Linked DNA regions of Bombyx mori. The protein of the gene in region 1 interacts with the protein of each later gene in a pairwise test. Links are inferred from orthologs where the notes say so. Each region holds a gene or a part of one and is shown on either strand. Other genes may lie near its edges. The genes, in order: prefoldin subunit 5 and prefoldin subunit 2.

Region 1 (12,035 bases):
GGGTTTGTGTCGTATACTTTAGCCTTAAGGTAGCCCCACAAAAAAAAATCCATCGGGGTCAGATCTGGACTACGTGGAGGCCAGGAAATGTCTCCTCTCTTAGAGATAACTTTGCCAGGAAAAAGTTGACGGATAACGGGCATAGCAGTGTTAGAGGTGTGAGAAGTGGCCCCATCCTGTTGAAACCACGTCCTGGCATTAAAGCCTGAAAAGTTTTGCAATTCTGGTATGAAAAACTCTTCGATCATAGCCACATATCGCTCCGACGTAACAGTAACTGCGCGCCCTCTGCCATCCTCAAAGAAGTAAGGCCCTAGGATACCATGGGCTGACATAGCGGCCCAAACAGTCACTTTCGGACTATGTAAGGGCTTCTGATGCTTAAGTTTTGGATTGATGGGGCTCCAATAGCGGCAATTTTGTTTACTAACATGCCCGTTAAGATGGAAATGAGCCTCGTCAGAGAACATTATGTTATTGAAGGAAGTAAACCGATTCAACATTTCATTCGCGTAATTTTGTCTTTGAATACCGTCAGTTTCCTTTAATTCTTGAACCAACTGAATTTTGTAAGGGTGCATATGTAAATCTTTCTTCAAAATCCGTTGTAACGATGTCCTGGATACGTTTAATGCTCTGGCGCGCTTACGAGTTGACTGTGTCGGATTTTCGCGAATAGACTGTGTCACTGTGTCTATGTTTTGTTCCGTACGTGACGTCCTTGGGCGACCCAACCGCGGTTTATCTAACGTCGAACCGGTCTCCTCGAACTTAGCAACCCAGTTCTTAATCGTTTGAAGAGTTGGAGTGTCGTCAAAGTTGTGTAAACCTTTGTGTTCTCGAAATTTACGCCGCGCAACGGTTGCCGAATTGTCGTTTTTATAAAACTCGCGCACACAAAACGCACGGTCCGCTCCGGTAAAACGCTCCATCGCGACTAAATTCCCAGAAACCGAAGTTACTCCCCCCGCTTCCCCTGCACCGCTCACGCGCGCCCTGTTCATTTTATTCAAATTTTACTTTTCAAAGGACTTATGGGCCACCCTGTACTTCAAGCTGCTTCAACTTCTTCTCGAAGCGGTATCGAAGTGTCAATGTCTAAAAACTATGGTAGGGTTGAGCTTGGAGATGAAGGAGATGGTAGGACAATTCATTTGCTCAAAAACTCCTGAAAGTTCTCGCGCCAACATTCAAGATAACTTTCTGAAGTCGCGATGTAGTTTCTGTTTTTATCCCAAAGCAGTTTCTTTTGGGTCTCTTTCTCCCTGCCAGCTCTTTGGTGTCACCGTACAATTGCCTCAGGTTGCCCGTATCGACTGCTGCTTGAGCACATTCAGCTTACCGTCAGTAGATCGTCGCCTGTATTTTCTGGTGCTGCGATAGATGCACTCATGTACGTATTTGACTGTACTGGTCCCTAAGGCAAGACCGTTCGGCTTTGTTCGGGGTTTCTAGGATGTTTAGGTGAAGATCGCATCAAGTCTGTTTAAGGTCACAAGTGTCGTCGGAGGTCCAATCATCGCGCTTTTTTCCAAGATGATCTAAGACAGAAGATCTGATTTCTTGATAGATTTGATTCGGTTGCACTCTTCGTCTGTATTATCAGTATTCGCATAGAGACGGAAGAAACAATTTCGGAGTTCCAAAGCAAATTTACTTCGAGAAATCTTTCTATCAAGTTGTCCCCAATCGAACTTAAGTCGTATCTTGTTGCTGCCAGCTGCTCGCCTCGTAGTCGCAACCTTGTGCCGGAGTTCAGCGACCATCAACATATGACCACTGCCGATATCGGCACTACACTTTTTGTGAACACTTGGCAGCTAGTTTGGTCTTCGTACGTATGTTGCCATCGGGTGAAGTCAACGCATACTTATGTATATTTTTATCATGGAAAAGTGTACCTCCGATAACAAGGTCGTGGTTTTCGCAGACTTTAATAAATTGCTTCCCTTAGTCGTGTTGGTCCGTATTGTCGCTTTTCCCTATCGTATTCATAACTCCTATCAAGATGACGGTATTGCTTTCGAATGCCTTCAGCGCGTTTTAAAGTTGTGTAAAGGAATTATGAAGTGTGCCTTAAATGTTCTAAGAGTTAAATAGAGTTTTAATTTGTACTTCGGTGAAAGTTTTATTTATCCCGAACCCGAGCACGTCACAGTACTATTTCTAGCACTACACTAAAAACATGTGACCAACAAAAAAAGTACTAAAAAAGCTATGTCAGGCCAAAAGGAGTGTTTTGATGTGCGCTTTGGGAGTCTTAACGACGAAAGGAAAGATCTTCCACCGAGCGGGTGATATTGCTCGGTAGACCGACGGTCCGAATGTCGTTGTTCGGAACTTGTATTTTTTTTATTTTTTTATTGCTTAGATGTGTGGACGAGCTCACAGCCCACTTGTGATGGGATGTGTGATATATGCGCTTTATCTTGAAAATGTCATAAGCGAGATTCAGGCATCTGTCAATTATCTTGCGTTGTATGATGGCTACCCGCCACACGCTAAGAGTGCAGAAAAGTTTTTATTCCACGGTTTACTTGTGAAAATAAACCAAGTTTATAGGTAATTTTGAAGTCGTCGTGGCCTAAAAGACGTCCGATGCATTCGTATGTAGCGATGCACCAGTGTTCGAATCCCGCAGGCGGGTAGCAATTTTTCTAATGAAATACGTACTTAACAATTGTTCACGATTGACTTCCACAGTGGAGGAATAACATCGTGTAATAAAAATCAAACCCGCAAAATTATAATTTGCGTAATTACTGGTGGTAGGACCTCTTGTGAGTCCGCACGGGTAGGTACCACCGCCCCGCCTATTTCTGCAAGGTGTGTGGCGCATTTACGTTGTAGATGTCTATGGGTTCCAGTAACCACTTAACACCAGGTGGGCTGTGAGCTAGTCCACACATCTAGGCAATAAAAAAAAAATGATTTCATACTTATGAAGAGTGTCATGAAAATATCAAATCAAATTGGTGAAGATGGACTGCTGTTTACATTAGAGTAAGAAAGCATGTGATTTTTATATGTATATATTCACTATAAATATTCATTCAAAATAAATAAAAATAGAAAACTAAAAATCTTTCATTTTGCAATTTAAATCATACCTATTTGTTTTGTAGAAATAGGCAAAATGTTCTCCATTCTTTAGTTTTTACAAAACTTGTCTCGAGGGCCAAGCCAAATTTCACATGACAAAGTCACATCTATACTTACACATGTAAAATAGTGCAATCAAATTATAGGTATTGATCATTTCATCAATAATACATACCCTGTTCCATTCAGAATTTGTATGAGAGTACGACTAAACCCGCATCTTGGAGTTTCCTTGTTCCCTTTCATGAATACCATTATATTATGCTTATTTATTAAAGCTTTTAGTCGATCTTCAAGTTTCTGAGGGGTTATTTCTGCAGGACTCTTATTAAGACTCTGTGCTTTAATTTTTGTGCTAATTTGAGCAGCATCTGCTCCATCAATCCTGTCTACTTGAGTTCCATTCTTAAATAATATAACTGTAGGCACTGAATCTACCTGAAATAAACATAATCATTAATAAGTTGTCTAAAACAGGCTTTCCCTATTTTGATTGTTTTCATTATAAATTATTTCAATATTCAATTACATAGGCTCTTTGATTGCTTAACTGGTCTAGTGTAGTGTTTCCTAAAGTAGTCTATTTCAATCTGAAGAATGACATAAAGTCTTTAATGCATAGTTGAGTAACCAAAATCAAGATACAAATTGATGTATCCATAAAGGTATATAAGCCGACTTAACCTAATAAGTGTATGGCTTTAATAAATAATAAAAAAAGTATACACAGGTATTGCAATAGGTGACTTAATTGTCTGTGCTTTATGATGCACTACATTTTTAGGGTTAGCACTTATTACTTTTTATTTAACAATATATTAGCAGAGCATTACCTTATATTGCAAGGAAACTTCAGAAAGTGCCTCGGCATCACAAACAGCACATTGTGTCTTGCTCGACTGAATTTCAGGAAGTTTTAAGAGTTCTTCAAGTACATCTGTAACTTGTTTACATTGTTCGGCCCATTCTGCTGAAAAGTGTACTACTCCAAGTGCAGGTGATCTAAATTAATTAAATAATTTTTGATATCAGCCAATACCAAGATAGATATTAAAGAATCATCTTGTTGTGATAAAAGATTAATTGAAAGTAATATTCTCAATTTTATATTCTAAATACATATTTCCATTTCAATGAATGCAAAATGTTGACCATCCTGCTACATAGTAATTTATTATCTAACATTTTTACCTATTTACTGTGTATTTAATTTAATTTCTTTTTATGGCTTATTTTTAATGATCCTTTCACAAACGGTTTTAAAAGTACTTTTTTATTAGCGGTGATTCTTACCTTATAAAATTATTAAAATCTTCAACAGAGTCCAATTTACTGACCGACATTTCAGTATACTATGTTTAGGTTACTTTAATAAATTTTGTAAACAGTATATAAGCGCCACTGGATTACAGCAAGATTGAATTACAATTACAGCAAGATCCGGAATCGTAGGTGTACTCGATGCAAAAATTACAATTTATTTAATCATGTTCATTCAGTTTCTGACATCTCTGATTAGGGATGTGGTCTAAGATCGATACTTGAGTAAATTAATTTGTTAACAACTTAAATCGTGAATAGTGAAACATCTTAAGCAGTAGAAAATCGAAATTTGATGAAAAGGCATTAATAAAGTATTTATGGTTCAACTGATTATGAATATATTAAATATAATGTTTATTAAATTTAAATTTACATTTTAAATAATAATAATTTAAAAAGTTGTTGTATATAAATCATGTATTTATTAAATTTTTTGAATGAATTTGTTGTTAATTTCTGTTTGATTGATTTTTGTGTCATTTTGGTTGCACTTGGGTATTTTCTAGAATCGATTTTTCAAAATTTTGGTCTGAAGTCGAATCATCATCTCTATTTCGAGCCAAATTTTTTTGTTTGATTTGTTTTTTGGACAAGCAAAAGGAGTCATAAATAATAAATAGATGTACACAATAAGGAGTTTTAGCAACACAGCGAAGTTATATTATGTCATGTATATCTTATTTATTTAAAATCGCTTAGCCATCTTATTGTTTACGGTTAATGATCAAGCTTAGTGGTAGATTTTTTTGTGTCTGAGCCAATTTTTTTGCTAATTTATATGGTGATTAAAAGGTTTGCTTAGTCATTGCTCTCTCGAAATGCTCGCAACATAATTGTTAACTTATAAATTTATTAACCTCTTTAATACGATTTTCGTTAGCGGTCAAATTGGTAGAAAACTACCAATATGACTAGCCAAATTGATACACACTAATAAATCCAGTTTAGTTTCTGTAAATTCTCAACATTTTACTAAGAGGTTTTCTTTATCGATTTGTTTTTTTCACTTATTTGGTGTTATAGGCAGAATTTGTTTGCATGTCAATTTGGACCAAACAAGTAAAACTGTCAAATTGACATATTCTGACTGAAGTTTTGGATCCTACCCGAAATCTACCTATTTTGAGGTTAGAAAAAAGAAATAGTCTTAGGATCCTACAAAAAACTAAATAGAATAACTAGAAACGTGTGTTAAGTTCTTTTATTATTTCCTTTTATTAATATTTACAAAGATGGCATCCGGTTCAGGCACTCAACAAATCGATTTAAACAAACTACCTTTGCCTCAACTAGCTCAATTGAAACAGCAGTTAGACCAGGTATGTATAAAGGAAATATCTATAGAGCTATTTTAGAAATAGTAAGCATTAAGTATTATTTCTTCAACATAATATAATTTATACAGATAATTATTAAATGTCGTAACTATTAATGTCCTTAAGAGACAGGACTTATGTCCTATTTTAAGGACCCTCATGAAAGCCGGAATGAAAACATTTCCATATGTTTTCTGGTCTGAGTTGTGTATCTAGGTGTACTTGTTAGTGACATGAACCCGGACCTCAAATACCAACTCACAAAGCTATGAATCTAAGATATGTTAAAGAGAAGACTTCACTGAATGTGCTCATTTTTGGTAGACAAGCAGTCATCATGTTGTTGTTCTGATCTTTTATTGGAAGACTATTTCGTAAACAGTCAGCTTCAGGTCATATCCGCTTTTCTTTATTGTATTGTAGCTATTGCTATAATTAGCCAGAAATGGAACATCAAACATAATGACTAAATTGAGGGAGACATTTTTTTTATTGCTTAGGTGGGAGGACGATCTCACAGCCCACCTGTTGTTAAGTGGTTACTGGAGCCCATAGACATTTATGATGTAAATGCGCCACCCACCTTGAGATATGTTCTAAGGTCTCAAGTATAGTTACAACAGCTTCAAACCGAAACGCATTACTGCTTCACGGCAGAAATAGGCAGGGTGGTGGTACCTACCCACGCGGAATCACAAGAGGTCCTACCACCAGTGAAAATGTGTCTGTATGTTAGTAACTGATGTTATGTTACAATATGCATTAGTAAAACGTCTGCCCTTTAGTCTTTAGGTCTACTTTGGGAGTACTTGGGCAGCTGTTAGTAAATCTGACTCCTCCTGGCTGCTCCCATGCTTGCCCTGCCTATCTTAGTGAAGCAGTAGTGGCCTCCTTGCAACCAGCTATCTCCATCCGAAAAAAAGGCAATACTCTCACACAAAATCCATAAAATTTTATTTCAGGAATTGACAGTATTTCATGATTCAATACAAACATTACAAATGGCTAAAAATAAGTTTGGTGAATCAGGAGATGTTCTAGAGAAGATGACGCCTGATATCAAAGGAAAACCGATGCTTGTTCCATTGACTAGTTCAATGTATGTTCCTGGCACAATAGCTGATGTTGAGAATGTCATTATTGACATTGGCACTGGATATTACGCTAAGAAAGTGAGTAACTTAAATCTATACATATAAATAAAATTGGAGTGTCTGTTTTTAATATTGAAATAACCGCTTTTTACTACATGCATATGAATATATACAGTACATACACCAAAATAACATTTTTTACAATTTTTGTCTGTCTGCCTGTCTGTCTGTTTGTTCCGGTTAATCTCTGGAACGGCTGGACCAATATTGACCAGACTTTCACTGATAGGTAGCTGATGATATAAGGAGTAACTTAGGCTACTTCTTAGATTAGGTTCGGCCCGCGGCGTCGGTTATTGTCGTACCACGGGATAACATCGCGGGACTCAGCTATCAATAATAAAATTTAATGTTTCCGAAGCGAAGCGAGGCGAGGGGGGGCGCTAGTTAAAAATAAATTTAAACCTAATTTAACACTTAATTCAGCTCCAAGTTTGGCAGGATAATATATCATGTATAGCTGCTGTTTTCATTTCAAACCTCATTTCAGAAAATGTTGAGTACTTTAGAATATTGGTATGAAGATTGAATCATGATATAGTTTCAAATAATTTCAAATTAACTGCATGGGTTACCCCTTAGGGCTAATGATGCTGACATATGTTTGTATTACGTTTTATTTCTGCTTCTAGGACATTGAAAGTGGCAAAGATTACTTCAAGAGAAGAGTAGAATTTGTTACAGAACAAATGGAGAAAATAAGTATGTTAGGTGCAGAGAAATCGAAACTCCGTGAAGCTGTTAATGCATTAGTTGAAATGAAAGTTCAAAACGAACTACAAGCAAAAAAAGCTAACTCTTCATAACATATCTGAGACTTAATTTAAAAAATATTTTGTGGAGAGATTCGTGTCCTTTTAATGTATAGAGTTGACCTAAATTTTCTGCTTTGTTAATTTATAGTTTATTTAAAGTATTTTAATTACTTTTTAAAACATTTTAATGATTACATCTTAGTGTTAAAAGTGGAATCATTTGTGTTTTGTTACCACGTATCACCCTGTCCTAATCAAAGTGGTTACTATTGCTTCTGTACATCAGTGATTTCAGAGCAAAGCCAAGTTTCTGAATGTATTAACGTAATCCCAACAGCTATGACTTATACTGATATTTTCTAATGTAAAGCTAGATAATATTATTAAGCCACATCAAAGCTTTTCCTCACATTTTCTTTAATTTTGGATAAATTTTGAAACTAATTACCTAAGGTAATATTTTGTGTTTAGAATACTCCTCAAGAGTACTACTCAATAGCATCAAGTAATGTTAATAATATTCTTAATTCATGTTTTGTAATTTTGTAAAGCTTTATATCATTTCAAACTATGTGTTTTACAAGTACAAGACTCATTGCTTAGTTTTAAATTTAATTCAATGTAACAAAATGTGCTTATGTTTAAAATAAATATATAAATATATTTCCAAGTTTTACTTGAACGATCCAGTATAACAAAAAAAAAACGCGGCTAAAACAAACATCAGCAAAAAGTGGCTTCTTTTTTTAAGATATATTCTGATACTGTTTTAAATGTTTTAATGATCTAATTATTGAATTCTGAAGAATAACACCCTGTATTGTTGTTGTATCTAGTAATAATCAAATTCTAGAAGGATAGTTACATACTCGTATAAATGTAATTTACAACTTTCTTACACAATCCATAGATGAGTCGACTATTATCAAAGCCGGCAATCTGACTTTTGGACAATTATTGGTAAATTAGAAAAACGAATTATTGACTTTGTATTCCATTGGCAGTCACAAAACTCCTCGGAACGACATCTTAGATAAATAACAGGTTAACTATTAACCTTTATTTAATGCAGGTTTTGAACCGTATTCTTTGAAGGAGACGATTATATTCAAATCAATCTGTATTGACATATCAATAACATTTTTTTGTCCAAATGCACAGATTGCCACCTTTGATAATAGACGACTCGGATGTCGCCTTTGTGTATTGCTAAACTCTTCTTTCTATAACTTACTAGGGACCCGCCCTCGCTTCGCTTCAAAACTGTAATTTATTATTGATTTCTCCACTACTTAATGGATGTTATTATACATATAAACCTTCCTCTTCAATCACTCTATCTATTAAAAAAACCGCAACAAAATCCGTTGCGTAGTTTTAAAGATTTAAGCATACATAGGAACAGACAGATATAGGGACAGAGAAAGCGACTTTGTTTTGTACTATGTAGTGATGATGATGATTAATGCAGTCTCGTCCGCGCGTAGCTACAATAGCCCCTTAAACTACCAGCAAATAGGTAGCGAAAAATGCACAGCTATTAGACTTAAAGTCTGTACAATATCACAGTTTAAAATAATTTAATTCCATGATTCGAATACTAGGATTTTCACTATCTCATAAGTATACCTACCGTAAGCGGCAATCTAGACGATCAATTATATTGCCTGGTATTGCGAACTTGGCAGTATTTTTGACTAGGGTTAATATTAAAGATTGCACGATGATTGAACGTTTTTAACTATATAGTTTAATTTTTATTGCACCATATTTATTTATTGCATCATGTACGGTCAGTGCAATGTTTTAAGTCTTTTTTTTTATGATTAAAGTATTACTGGTGCCTCGGAGGCCTTTCCAGGTTCACCAGGACAGGTGGGCGAGCAAATGCTCAGCCAGGAGGGGTGAGATTTGCTAACAGCTGCCTGAGCGCCTCCGAGACCAACTCAAGAGTAGCTGCTTCGCGAATGAATCTACTACCGAATCGGAATCGCGACCCGCTGAGAAGATCCGGCGAGAAACTCAGCGGGCTGATGGGTTAGGTTGCACGTCGAACTCTTTGTCGAGTTCGACGAGTACGGTTACCGTGTGTTTTTGTCTATGGTTCGTCTTGACAAGGAGTATACGCGCTGACTGAGTTCGCGAACATTGTGCAGTTCGTATTATTGTGCAATATAATTGATCGTTTAGATTTAGAGCGCCTTTAAACCTTATTCTAGGTACATTATATTGTATGGTACAATGTTATTGTAGGTCTAGGGGCCGCCTAAGACGTTATTAACAATCACGTCTTTTAAAAACACGGAACTTTCTTCAAATATTTAATGATATATCTCTCTCTCTCTTTCTCTTCGATCGGTTCCTCACTGCTGAGGATCGTGACTCCGTCCGATTTCGTCAGCCAACTGTCTCCATCGAACCCGTCCTGCAGCCCGGTGGAGTGCATCGCTGATAGGTATCCCCAGTTCCTCCGCTATTTGGTCCGACCATCGTTTGGGACCTATACCCCTAGGCCTTTTTCTCTCCATTTTACCAGTCACCACAAGGCGTTCCAAATTGCTGGTATCCCTACGTGCAACATGATCAAAATACCGCAATATTCTTTGTAGGCAGATTGTGGATAGACGTTGAATCTTATAATGATATATAAATTGCGTTAAGTTCTGCTAATTTTTTGTCTTTCAAATAAGGTTTAAATTGAGTTCATAGTAGTAGGTGGCGTCTTAGGCTCGCAGGTCTCCGGATTTGCTGATGTCCATGAGCGTCGGTGACCAAATACTATCAGCTGGGTCGTAAGATTGTCTATCTTTTACTATAGTAAAAATGTTCCCTATATAGTTCCTAGGGAATTTATTTCAAATTACATTTTTATAAATATTCCTCAAAAACAGGTGCCTCTTTTAATTCCAAACCCTTTAGAGCGTGCAATAGACGTAAAAGTCGAATGTTGATGGTTGATACAAAGTGGTATGTAGATACATATTTCTTTCTAGATGTATCTACAGACTTTCTGCGATGCCTTAGCAATCCGTAATCATTTAGCTCTAGGTGTAGGTATCACGAGTCCGTCCACCAACCCAAGGCTTAAAGAAAAATCGACGCCGCCAGCTTTTAAACATGTGGTCAAAATATCTACATATGTTTTAGAACATCTGTTTTATCCTTCACACTGCATAATTACTTTGCTGATTACGCCCTAGTGTATATATTCTGTGAAATCTTAATTTCTCAGTTAAATCCCCATGACCTTGTCTTTGAATTTGAAAATCTGTCTCCTAAGATCAAGCTGAATCCGTTTAGGGTTCCTAGGCACATTACAAGACACACAAAATATACTCAATGGTGCTTGGGATTTATTTTTATCGTGTACGATCTAGCGGTGTATTTTCATCATTTAAGATTGTGCTCGGCGTAGCTTATATCTCACTAAATTTTCGAAGATTTTCGTAGTACTTAGGTTTAGAAATTTTAGGAATATATCACTACATAGTACAAAACAAAGTCGCTTTCTCTGTCCCTATATCCATTAAATAGTGGAGAAATCAATAATAAATTACAGTTTCCGAAGCGAAGCGAGGGCGGGTCGCTAGTTGGTAAATAAACCAAATAACAGTACAAGGCTACCAATAGTGATCGAAGCCTTAATGTCACCATTCCTTAAACAAAGTGCACCAGAAACTGAGTGCTTACAATTTGCGTCTTCGCGTTAGAATATAGGAAATTGTGTACAATTAGATAGATAGTTTTCATGGTCACACTCTTTGTGTATGAGCGCAAACTTCGGAAGTTTGACCTTACGCTGTGGGAATAATAGGATTTTTAAAATAAACTAAACTTTTTAGTGACACCAAATGTTTTCTTTTATTCATTACTAGGCCAAAATGATAGCGCTGACGCCTTTTTTTTTTTTTTTTTTTTTTTTTTTTTTTTTTTTTTTTTTTTTTTTTTTTTTTGTCAGGAGGAAATCGCCGGACTTCCACCCTTCACTGGGGATGGAGGGCGGGGCATGTCGGAGTCGAACCGACTAAAACCTCCTGTCTCTCAACAACCAACGTCCAAACCTCGCATGAGACAAAACTCATGAAAAGGCAAGGGGGGGAAAGTGAAGCGTTTAGTGCGGAGCACATCTCTCCCATCACCCTCCCCCTCGGGACGCCGGACTGGCGGTCGTCGGCGCCACGACCACCAGCCCTCTCGGTCGGCAGGCTATCCGAAGCCCGCCTAGATGGCACCGGTTAGAATGGTCTATCCTACGGAATACCCCGCTGGGTTAGAACCAGCGTGGGTTGAGGATAGCCGGCCTTCCATCACCCGGATGCTCATGCATAAAACGCGTGCAGAGCAGCTTGCACGTCGTCTTCTTAGGCCCCCTTCGCCGGTCCCCA
Region 2 (12,247 bases), on another chromosome or scaffold:
GTGCCGAGCCGCCCGCACCGCGCGCCCCGCCTCCCCCTCCCCGCACTCCCCCTCCCCGCACTCCGCCGCGCCGCGCTCGGCCGCCCGCAGGCCTGCCTCGGGGCCTCGCCAAGCTTCCTGGAGATATTTTCTTTCAAACTATCTTTTTATACAATACAATACTAAACTAATGAACTTTAATAAAACTTGGCCCTTCTTTCTCGTCGTCTTTGGTTTTTAGTGTTCAAGTTGAGAGATAGGATCTTTTTTTTTTCGGGTCGGGGGCTGAACTTCCTGCGAGGTTCCCGCGCCTAGGGGGCGCACGGGATATATGGGACTTGATAATCTATAGAGCAGATCGCGGACCCGAGAATATTTTTAAGGCTCTATCGCATCAAACGACTCCCCTGCACTTTCACACCCGATGTCAGATCTCCGCCCGGGCCAGAACCCGGTCAGAGTAGAGGAGGTACCCGCGGTCAACACCCGCGATAACGGGTCGTCGACGACCAACGACACTGGTCCTCGCGGTACGGCAGCCCTACCAGGCCCCGTGACCCAGAGACTGCTTCCTCACAGGGTCGGAGTTGGACGAACGCCCTCCTCCCACCCCCGGCTCGACGGCGCCAAGAGGGAAGAAGAGCTCTCCCTCTCCTGTTCCGCAGCCTTCTTTTGCGAGATGGTGGACTCGTAGAAGTCGAGTATCGTCTGCCAAGACTCGTCACTGCCGAGCATCATAGGCACGACGGTCGGCAGCGACAAGTCTAGTCTGTGTTTTTGCAACCAGGAAGCGGAGCTGCTCTGAGAAAGCTTGAGGGAGGCCTATGTCCAGCAGTGGACATCTGTGGGCTGATAGAATAGAAATAAAAAAGTGACAATACCTAGACAAGATCTGGAAAATTTTCAGATATAATGTGTGATCTTAGAATGTACTTTGGATTAATGACACTAACCTGAAAGTCGATAAACCTGAGCCACAGGGCGACGTCGTTGGGTTGTTTTTCTAGTTGTTGAGTGAGAGCCCGCTCCCTAGCAGCCAGCTCGGCGCTGAGGTCCGCTACTGGGATGTTCACCTCCCAGTAGCGGAATGAGCGCTCCTCACTTTTTCGACGCTTGCGTTTTTTACCCACTACTCTACCTATGGCCTTGTACCTGAAATTAATAAGTTATACAGATAAATGATCATATGCCGGAAATAACCAGATGACTACAAAGTCATAATGTTATTAGTGTTACTTCTACTGCTAGCTTCAATTACTACACACTAAGCAAAAGCAACAATACCATTAGAAAATATTATACCAAACAAAGCATAGCGTGATTTAGTCACATATCTATTGAGTTTTGACATGGTGGAAGATCACTGTTGCTTATGACGTCACAAAAAATGCCAAGGGTACAGTAAAGTCAAATGTTTTTCCTTGCCCTGCTGCCCAATCAAAACTAAATTTGGAATTCTGAGGCACATTTTTACAAATTGTTGCACACTTTGTGGATACCTACATTACACACACTATTCTTTAACAGGTCTTTACCATGATTTTCATGTATAATGAGTTCCCCATACTTCAGTGTTGTTGCCAGCTTCATGATCACAGGTAAACTGAAGACTACGAATAGAATGTTAAGAGCAGACAAATTTTATCAGACCTTATTAGACCTTGTTAAATAAATAGTGTAATTAATGACAATTTTTAGTTTAAGGGGTTATTTTTATGCTTATTCATACAAAAATACATTTTCTCGACATTCATCTTGTTTAATTATGACTCGCTCCCCTCTATAACATCCATATGTTATCATTGTGTACTTTACATTTCACTATTTGCATAAAGAACTTTTCAAGTCTACCTAGCATTTATGAAGTATTAATGTCGTGTTAGTATTAGTGTTAATCAAGTTGTCGTGGCCTAACGGATAAGACATCCGGTGCAATCGTATCTAGCGATGCAACAGTGATCGAATCCCGCAGGCGGATACCAATTTTTCTTATGAAATACGTACTTAATAAAATGTTCGCGATTAACTTGTACGGTGAAGGAATAACATCGTGTAATAAAAATAAACCCGCAAAATTATAATTTGCGTAACTACTGGCGGTATGACCTCTTGTGAGTCTGCACGGTTAGGTACCACCACCTTGTCTATTTGTGCCATGAAGCAGTAATGCGTTTTGGTTTGAAGAGTGGGGCAGCTGTTGTAACTATACTGAGACCTTAGAACTCGTGTCTCAAGGTGGGTAGCGGCATTTAGGTTGCAGATTTCTATGCGCTCCAGTAAACACTTAACACCAGGTGGTCTGTAAGCTCATCCACGCATTTAAGCAATAAAAAAATAATAAATTTAGTGAAAATTATCAAGGAATAAAATTTTCTAAATATATTTCTGCTTTTCTCTCCTTTAGAGATAGAATGTCTAAAAAAATATTTAACTGCTCTAAATTTCTATTATTTTCTTTTATTGTATTCACGGTGCATTTCCAGGGATATTTTTGGCCATTTACCATCAGTCCTTAGAATTAATTTCTTTTCTTCTGTACTGAATACCATAATCACCTTTTTACAACTCCCAAGGGAAGAGATGAGGTGATGCTATTCTAGGTTGAGGTTCAAGAAAAGATTCATTTAGGACAACATTTTGTGATTCCGATGCGGTGGTAGATTCTACAAAGCACTGCTATTGCTAAGGTTAGTGTTAGCAAATTCTCTCAGGTTGAGTCCATGAGCTCAGCTGCCTGTAAATGAGAAGCTGGAATAGCCCTTACGCTACCAGTAAATAGGTACAAAAAAAAACATTCGAGCATAATTTTCCCATCAGTGAATAATATTTCAAAGCTTGAAGTAAAATCAACTTTCTAATTACAGTTCATCGAGATGTGGACAGTGTGAAAATGAAATTAAAAACACTTACTCAGGTCGGCCGGGATAGTACAAGGTTGAGACTCGCAGGTTACCGGGGTCGAACTTGGTATCGAGATAAAAGTCAGGAGATGTAAGATCACTCTGGAGTGGTGGTTGTAGTGGAGCTGGATACTCGTCGGTAGAGTTATCACTAGCGAGCAGCTGTTCCTCACCAGCCGGCGATACTTCCCCTGCAGGTGATAACGCGTTATAGCCTTTCGTCAACAATATTATTAAAATAATATAGATTGCATTTTATTCATCTTACGCTCATCAATGTTCGATATTTTTGTTTCAGTTACTTTTGCGCAATCTTGACTATACGCTGGAAATAGAGACATTTTAGTGGTAATCGTATGCAATATCCTCAAAGAATGTTTATCAATGGTTTGACATGCTATGTTTATGTGTATAATCTATGTGTACTAACGAACTGTCACTGACTGTCACAAAACAAAGACAGAAGGTTTTTTTAAGGGATTTAATGACCTGGTAAGTAAGACCTTTAGGTCATGTCTTATTTTAAGTTAAATTATTTTATATATTTCAATATAAATTCAAATTGAAAAAAATATTTCCACACAGCTATTACGCTATTATTAAGTCATATCTTAATAGACGATGCTTTGAGATTAAACATAACCGAGAATCATCACAAATGCATGAGATTACTTCTGGTGTGCCACAAGGCAGCATACTCGGCCCTGTCCTGTACCTCATCTATACAGCAGACTTACCAACCAACAGAAACACTATCATTGCAACATACGCAGATGATACAGCTATTATGTCTGTTCCTGACGACCCTACAACAGCTTTTGAAAACTTACAATCACATCTAGATGACCTTGAGAAATGGTTTAATACGTGGCGAGTTAAAGTAAACCAAAGCAAATCATCCCACGTTACCTTCAGCCTCAGGAAACAAACCTGTCCACCTGTAAGCTTATACAACGAAAACATACCGCAAGCGGAAGATGCAAAATATCTTGGCATACATCTGGATCGAAGACTGACATGGCAAAAGCACATCTGGTCTAAGCGAAAACAATTGGACATAAAGCTAAGAAATATGTACTGGTTGACTGGAGGGAAATCCCAACTTTCGCCGGAAAGTAAAATTTTAATTTACAAAACCATCTTAAAGCCAATATGGACATATGGCATACAGCTTTGGGGAACTGCCAGCAATAGCAATGTCGAGATCCTTGAAAGGTTTTAAAATAAAACTTTCAGAACAATGGTAAGAATACCGCATTACATAAGCAACAAGATCATACAAATGGACCTAAATATTCCCACAGTGAAAGAGGAAATAGTAGCTTACAGCAAAAAATACCAAGCCAGGTTATCGACACACGTCAATAAATTGGCGTCGGACCTAGGAGGCACAGGAGCTGTGCAGTTTACTAGATTAAGGAGGCACAGTATACCTACCTTACAGAACAGAAATTAAATCGTACAACAAAAGATGAAGATATCACTGGACAACTGATTCTGTTTATATCACTACTAAGATTAAAATCAGCCAAAGGAATAGCTCATTGTTAACTAATCAAGATCGCTACGAGACATTAAATTATAATATTGAGGGAAATAATATGAAGATTATTAATTTGAGACATTATTCAACTGGGATGAAATTAAATTAAATGAGATGAGATGAAATGTAATCTCACTAAAATAGTGGTCATTTACTGAGATTTTTTCAGTGGACTTTTTGGAGGGTCCCAAGAGATTATGTCCAGCGGCTTTGTTTCATTTTCCCACATTTGTGCACTTTCACAAATATTAAACAGCTAATAAACCACTGTTATTACACATTTCAACACATTACACATTTACACACTGTGGTTAATATGTGATCATTACGTGATTTTTTGAAGTGAAACTTTTTTAGAATCGTTGTGTTTTCAAACTCGATGAAACGAAATGAAACGAAACGAAAAAATAAGTGTGCCGCGATTGGCTTGCCGAAGCGGCTCCGAGCGGCGCCGACAAATCACGAAGCACTCCACACGGTCTCGCATCCTCGACTAGTTCAGTGTGTTTTTGATGTCCGTGCATGCTGTCGTGGCTCTTGGAGCGCCCTGAGATACTTTTATTTCTATTTAGTTTGTTATCAACAGATGTCACTGCACGTAAACTCAACAATTCCTGAATCGCGGTGATGAGATGTTACACAGTTGATAAACGTTCTCGTATTTCTCTTGTTCAATCACAACCACTTGGAACATCCTACTCCCGACTAGGCGCGTTAACACTTCCGCCTCCGCCATTCGCCTCTTCATCATGTACGACCAACCCATACCGTCGGCCCCGAAGGTCAAATACTTAGACGTCACCCTCGACAGAGAAATGACATTCCGCCCCCACTTGAAGACGGTACGTGATCATGCCGCCTTCATACTAGGATGTCTCTACACTCTCTATCCGATGATATGCAGGCGAAGTAAATTATCCCTTAGAAATAGGGTGACACTCTACAAAACTTGCGTACGCCCTGATATGACCTATGCAAGCGCAGTGTTCGCTCACGCGGCCCGCACTAGCTTAAAATCATTCCAAGTTATTCAATCCCGTTTTTGCAGGATAGCCGTCGGAGCTCCACGACGACCTGGACTTAGAGTCCATCAGTAAGTATCTTCAGTCGGCGTCAATGCGCCACTTCGATAAAGCGGCACGACACGAGAACCCTCTCATCGTGGCCGTCGGTAACTACAATCCCGATCCTGCGGTGAGAATGGAAAGCTGTCGACGTCGCCCCAAACACGTCATTTCGGATCCTCCCGATCCACTAACAGTGCTTTTAAGTACCTCAAGCACCGGTCATCGTTCTCGTCGAACCCGTCATCGTTCTCGTCGAACCCGTCGCTTGCGACGAAGGGCTCGACGAATAAAGTAACCCTCAGACACAGCCCACTGAGTTTCTCGTCGGTTCTTCTCAATGGGTCGCGTTTCCGATCAGGTGGTAGATTCTGCGAAGCACGGCTCTTGCTAGGGTTTGTGTTAACAACATCATCCGGCTTGAGCCCCGTGAGCTCACCTACTAGTTAAGGCGACACTGATATAGCCTCTCAAGGCTATCAGCATAGGTAGGAAAAAAATAATCTAATCATACTTACTTGGCGTAGGGATACGGTGATCATGCAGGCGGTTTCCCCCAGGGTGAGGCTGCTCCATTGCACTATGGAGTGGTTGACCCTTGCGATAATTTTTATTTTTTAAAGGTTTCACTTCTACCGTGTGTGACTTGCACACACGTCACACATACATTTTTTTTTTCTTATCTAAGCTGGGTATTACGGATAAAATGTTCCTACCTATAGTCCTAACCTTGCACCTTCAGACTTCCACCTGTTTCGATCTCTTCAGAATTTTTTAGGCATTGTCAGGTTAACATCACGAGAGGACTGCCAAAACCAATTGTCGCGGTATTTTGATCGGAAGCCCCATAGCAATGGGATCATGTCCCTACCTACAAGATGGCAAAAAGTTATCGAACAAAATGGTACCTACATACTTTAGTTAAATGTAAATAAACAATATTAAAAAATGTGAATTTTCTTAAAAAATGCGAAGAAACTTTTTCCCCAACTATTGTACTATTAGAACTTAGTAGTTTAAATTTTATTAGTAATAGACAAAGACTTTAATGCTTTTAATCTAAGGATTAGGATATTATCAAAATACGTCCCAAAAATGCTTTTTAAATATAATAGATGCTTTTCAGGAGTTGGTTGTCATGACTCAAACTTATCTCAAGTGTTTCACAAACTATGGTCACAATTTATTTGAGGGTAAAGATTTTCTTGTGAAGTAATAAAAAAAAAAATTGCCTAAAAGGTAAAGTAGCCAGCGTTCGCAAAAAAAAAACTGACATGTACATTAATGTACATAACCTAATCCGTGTATTCGATAAAAACTAGTTAATTTGAGTTTTTGTTAATTTAAAATACATTTACATGTTCTTTTATTTTTAAAACTTTCAGTAAACCGTGATTATTTTTACTTTTCAAAGAGAGTTAAATTGATTACTCTTTTTTTAAAACTATATAAAAAAAAATCCTAAAATTTTGATTTCCATTTCCCCTACCTACCTAGAGTAAAATGGCTAAAAATACATCAAAAGTAGGAAAAAAAACGAATGAGGAAATCTTTGCTGGTTTCCAAACTCTTCGTAATGAACAACGTCAATTAGGGAGTAAAATATCAGAATTACAAATGGAGTTAAACGAACATAAGTGAGTAAATGTGGAATAAATCTATTGCATATCAATCTACTGCTTAAAAAAATACAAAATACATAGTAAATTATGTCTACAGGATCGTAATTGAGACTTTGCGGGGAGTGGAGTTGACCCGTAAGTGTTTCCGGATGTTTGGGGGCGTGCTTGTCGAACGCACCGTAGCTGAGGTGTTGCCAGAGCTGATCAGCAATTATGAACAGCTACCTAAGGCCATCCAGTCCCTAGAAGACCAACTCACTCAGAAGGGAGAGGAGATCAATAAATACATTGAGGAACATGATATTCGCATCCAACGTGCTGATCGCACCATGCCTGAACCACCTCCAGAGCAATCCACCTCTACCAAGTCTAATGTGCTAGTTGCTAGCGGTTAACTATACTGATCCTTTCATTTCATATAGCTGTCGCAGTGTATTGACAGTGAGACTAGTCCTACATTTGCCTAAAGCAGTGTGAGGTAGTACTGGGAAACTTTTTATTATTAACAATACTATTACGGTGTGGCTTGATAAATTAGTTCTGGCTGATGTTTAGGGGCAAGGGGGGCAAACATGGTATTATGAAGCAGTACTTTATGAATATGATGACAAGAAAAGGAAAATCTAACTGAATATCCATCTCAACCAGATAAATAAATCATTTTAGTGTGACAATACTCCAAGACACTTAACCACATATTTAAAGAAAGGAATACTACAGCGAAAACTCCACAGAGAATAATTAATTCCCCAGCTGAATGTGCTCAAATAATGTGGAATTAAACTCAATAAACAGTTTTTTCAGGCAGTAGAATATGAACCCTTGTCTAGTGGAAAGTAGTATGATAATAAACTTTAATAATAAAATAGATCTTGAACAACTTTTCAACACTTTTCATGGAATATGTAATACAAATGCAGAGAAGCAGTCTCTTTGTCCCAACAATTATGAGAATAGCTTCATTTAAGAAGTCAAGACAATATGGAGTTTTTTGTTGTTGTCCTCACCATTCTTTAACAATGTCTAAGGTGACAGTGATATATTTCTAATCAAAAACAATAAGCTTTGAATGTTTAAACTCTAAACATTAGAGTAATATATGAGAGAAAAATAATTTAAATAGTAAAATGTTTTCCACATTGTGCTATATGTATATTCCCAATGCTGTCACAGCATCTGAAGCTCACCTATGCAGAGTCAATGTGATTGGTAGGCAACTGTAATAAGTAGAAATATCACTGAAACCTTGAGAGTATTGTTTAACTGTGTACATAGCTTTAAGGTTTACTGCTATTTTGAAGTGTTTGGCCAGTTAACAAGCCTGAATGCCTGAATTTTTCATTTGCCCTTGCCCAGACGAGCATACGGCTCACCATTGCCAGGGGTAGAGCCAACTTACTGCCAACAATTTGAATGATATACTATACGCATGTCCGAGTTCAGAGATGAACTATGGCAATCAGGTAATAACTTTGTGTAAAAAGTCTCAACTGAAAAGTTAATAAGTTTGGATAATTTATTACTTGCACCATACTCTAAGTGAGCATGGTTAGATTATTACCTTATTTCTATGGACAACTATACAATATAATTAAAACTTCCTATACTCTTAGCAGGATGGTGACATTCATAATGTTGTCAGAGGTCTGATAAAATTTTAATACCAGGTGGGATGTCACAATAAAACAGTGACAACTTTTTCTGTTTCATCAGGTGAATTTTAATATGATTATAAAACATGATCATGGCTAGATTCATATTTGGTTTTAATTTTTGGAACCTTAAAATTTATTGTTACTTAAAATAAAAATAGCCAGGAATAACAAGAAACTTTATTTTATAATATAGAAAAGAATAACTAAACAAAAAAAAGTGTACTAATATTTATTTCATGTAAAGTAATTTTGTATAAAATATATTTCTGAAAAATTCATTTTTGTAGTTTGGACTTGTAAGGGTCTGACGACTAATCTCCAATACTGTTGATACCACAGAGGATAACAAACAATTGGCATGCAAGTCCTTTCGTTGACATGTTTATTGTAATCCAAACTTTACATTTAGTCGGGCCCTGCCTTCTTACCTCCATGTATCAGGTGGGGTATTAGAAACCACAGTGGATGGATTTAGGTTTTTTTACAATGTTTCCACTTAAAATAGTTCTGAGTGTTGTGCTGGCGAACTATGGCGTCTAGTGGAGCCGCACGGCGGGCGCCACTAACATCCATTTTATTCCAAGAAGCAGTTACGTTCAGGTAAGGTGGAACCTTCAAAAGCAATTGAGATTTCGAACTCATATTTCTAGGAACGAAATGAAGTAGAATGAATATTAGAAGGCCATACAGTTAGTTGGCCGAGCAATTCGCATAATATCCCGCGCACAGCACATCTAAATGTCTTACAATTTAACAGCTTTGACTGTTCCTCAAGTTTGTTGATATACCAGTCATATATGATGATGTTCTATGATAATCCAAAATAATTGCAATCTAACATTCTGCATTCCGTTAGCATTGTGTTATGTCCGTGAGAGGCGCAGCCGGAGCCCAGTGTGAGAAGATTCTAATGTCGCATTTGATTAACATGTATTTAAATTATAATAAAATTTGAAGACTTAACGTTGTTTTTTATTAACATCCAGTAGTTAATTTTGTTCTTGGTTAATATTGTACAATAGCACCATTACCTTAAAAGCTAAATTCATAACCACGAAGTAAAGCACGAGGAGGAGCGAGGGCACAGCGTTACCGCGGCGCGGCACTACCCACTAGTCACAGGTTTGTGGTGACCAGTTAGAAGTGTGCGAGGTCGGTGGGCGCGTAGGTCTCCTTGGGGTCGAGCGGGGTCGTGTCGGGGGCGCGCAGGGGCGGCGGGGGCGAGCGGGCGCGCGGGGTCGACCCGCCCGACTTGTGCACCACGCGCAGCTCCGACACCGACATGTGCTTGTCCACCGCCTTGCACATGTCGTACAGCGCCAGCGCGGCCACCGCCGCCCCCACCAGCGCCTCCATCTCCACCCCCGTGCGGCCCTCCGCCCCCACCTCGCAGCGCACCCGCACCGCGCCCCCCGCCGCGCACTCCCCGCCGGGCAGCGACACCCGCACGCGCACCAGCTCCAGCGCCAGCGGGTGGCAGAGCGGGATCAGATCGGACGTGCGCTTTGCGCCCAGCACTCCCGCGATCTGTAAGGAGTGTTTGACTTAATCATTCATTTTAAAGATTCCATTTGGGTCTGCATCGAATTCGAGAAATAAATTACTTCGGCAACGGTGAGCGCGTCTCCCTTGGGCATGGCGGCGTCCCGGAGCAGGCGCAGCAGGCGGCCGCCGACGCGCAGCTCGCACTCGGCGGCGGCGGCGCGCTGCGTGCGCGGCTTGGAGCTGACGTCCACCATGCGGGCGCGGCCCTGCGCGTCCAGGTGCGAGAGGCGGGCGGGCGGCTCGGACCCCCCGGACCCCCGCGACCCCCCCGTGCAGTAAGCGCGCGCCTGTAGCCGGCCGCTCCCCCCGACCCCCTGTACTTTGAACGCGCGCCCGTCTCTCGAGGTTAAGTCACCTACCCGCCTATGAGAATCATGGGCCGGTTCTCCATGTGCGCCAAATTTTGCATTCCTATAAGTAGAGGAAGGATCAGCGAGAGTGCGGAGGTTGGCCGCCCCCCACCCCCCGGCCCCCCGTCGCTCGCCCGCCTCCTCGCGCCGCCCGGACCGAGCTCGCGCTACTGAAATACCAAGAACGCGTCGAAACTCGTTCCAAGACGAACAATGTTAGTAAAGGAAATGAGCTGATGCAGCACAAGCGGGTTCGGGACGAGGGGGACCGGTGATGCTACATTCGTGCAGTGCTGATTGTGCAGAGTACACGAACTAGTTCAGAGAGGGTGGACAGGGCGAAGAGGCAAGAGCGGCAAGGTAGGAGAGAGCAGCTGCCCAGTTACCGGCGTGCGCGGCCTTCTTGTTGTGCAGCGCGGCGCGCACCAGCTGCAGCAGCCGCGCCGGGCCCGCGCCCCCCCGCACCGCGTCCCGCAGCGACACCTCCGCGGCCCCGAACAGGCACACCTGCACACACACACACGGCCGCTTGTACCGGGACCCGCGCCCCCCGCGCCGCCCCCGCGCCGCCCCCGGGGTCCCCGCCCCGCGCCCCCGCCCCGCTCACCTTGAGGTTCCCGTCGGCGGTGAGGCGCAGTCGGTTGCAGGTCGCGCAGAAGTGCTGCGTCATGGACGAGATGAACCCCACGGTGCCCGCGTACCCGCCCACCTTCCACAGCTGTCCAACGAACCAGACTCATTACAGCGTTTGTTTCGCAATCGATAAAACTCAAGTCGTACGCGATGTGAGATATTCAAGTCAAATAATTAGCTTGAAGAAATAAATTAAATTATTTGAAAATTAATTTTTTTGTTATAAGTTTGTTTATCAGCCTTTGGCATTCTCTGATGGTCGCAGGTTCGCTGCAATGTCCGGCCCTACGCTGCCCAGATTAAGAGGATTCTCGCGATTTTCAATAACAGTACCTACTTAGCAGAGCATAATATACTAATCCTACTTCTGGTTAAAGTTTATGAAGGAGCTAGCAAGTTCTTCACTGTCAATTTTATAAATAATCGAGCAGAGTAATGGTACCTTTACTACGTACATAACCTGTCATCTAGTATTGAGTGCAGTATATGTGTGGGGGGTACCGTGGCGGTGTCGTTGGGGCGCGGGGGCAGGGGGCGCAGGCCGGGGTGCGCGGCGCGGGCGGCCCGCAGGACCTCGCGGTGCGGCACGAGGCGGCCCGACTTCCACTCGTTGCCGGCAAATGGCATGAATTCTATGAACCTGCAGACACAAATAAATGTGTTACAATGGTGGCACTCCATCGCCTGCTCCCTCGGGACGAGCCGCCCTGTACCAAGAGAGGGTCCGCACACGGCGCCGTGTCGGCCGCGCGGTGGGAGCACGGTGCGGGCCGCGCTCTTCCCTGACGCCGAGTCGCGTCTCGGCGGTCCGAACTAAGATTTTAAGTAGTCAGTTTTGTAAGTACCGAGGTATTATTTGATGAATTTACGTTCTGTGTGGTTTTCTCGGAGGCTGTAAAGATATTACATTACACATACATTGTCATAATATGTCCTTGTGTATTCACCACAACCAT

What was found.
Region 2: the proteins of prefoldin subunit 5 (region 1) and prefoldin subunit 2 interact in binary tests that used the Homo sapiens proteins (3 or more experiments, as listed by UniProt). The link is inferred for Bombyx mori from reciprocal best matches to the Homo sapiens genes PFDN5 and PFDN2.

What each region holds. Positions count from the first base shown.
Region 1 is NC_085112.1:5,058,006-5,070,040, forward strand, and holds prefoldin subunit 5, read left to right. Parts: upstream 1-5,501; 5' UTR 5,502-5,657; coding exon 5,658-5,744; intron 5,745-6,703; coding exon 6,704-6,913; intron 6,914-7,527; coding exon 7,528-7,701; 3' UTR 7,702-8,313; downstream 8,314-12,035. Other genes in the region: glutaredoxin 3, read right to left, coding at 3,278-3,540, 3,936-4,104, 4,396-4,445. UniProt on the Homo sapiens protein: Binds specifically to cytosolic chaperonin (c-CPN) and transfers target proteins to it. Binds to nascent polypeptide chain and promotes folding in an environment in which there are many competing pathways for nonnative proteins.
Region 2 is NC_085129.1:188,732-200,978, forward strand, and holds prefoldin subunit 2, read left to right. Parts: upstream 1-6,633; 5' UTR 6,634-6,989; coding exon 6,990-7,123; intron 7,124-7,205; coding exon 7,206-7,503; 3' UTR 7,504-9,041; downstream 9,042-12,247. Other genes in the region: uncharacterized protein LOC101745338, read right to left, coding at 1-117, 933-1,131, 2,890-3,070, 3,148-3,220; molybdenum cofactor biosynthesis protein 1, read right to left, coding at 9,901-10,290, 10,368-10,828, 11,045-11,165, 11,266-11,376, 11,793-11,931. UniProt on the Homo sapiens protein: Binds specifically to cytosolic chaperonin (c-CPN) and transfers target proteins to it. Binds to nascent polypeptide chain and promotes folding in an environment in which there are many competing pathways for nonnative proteins.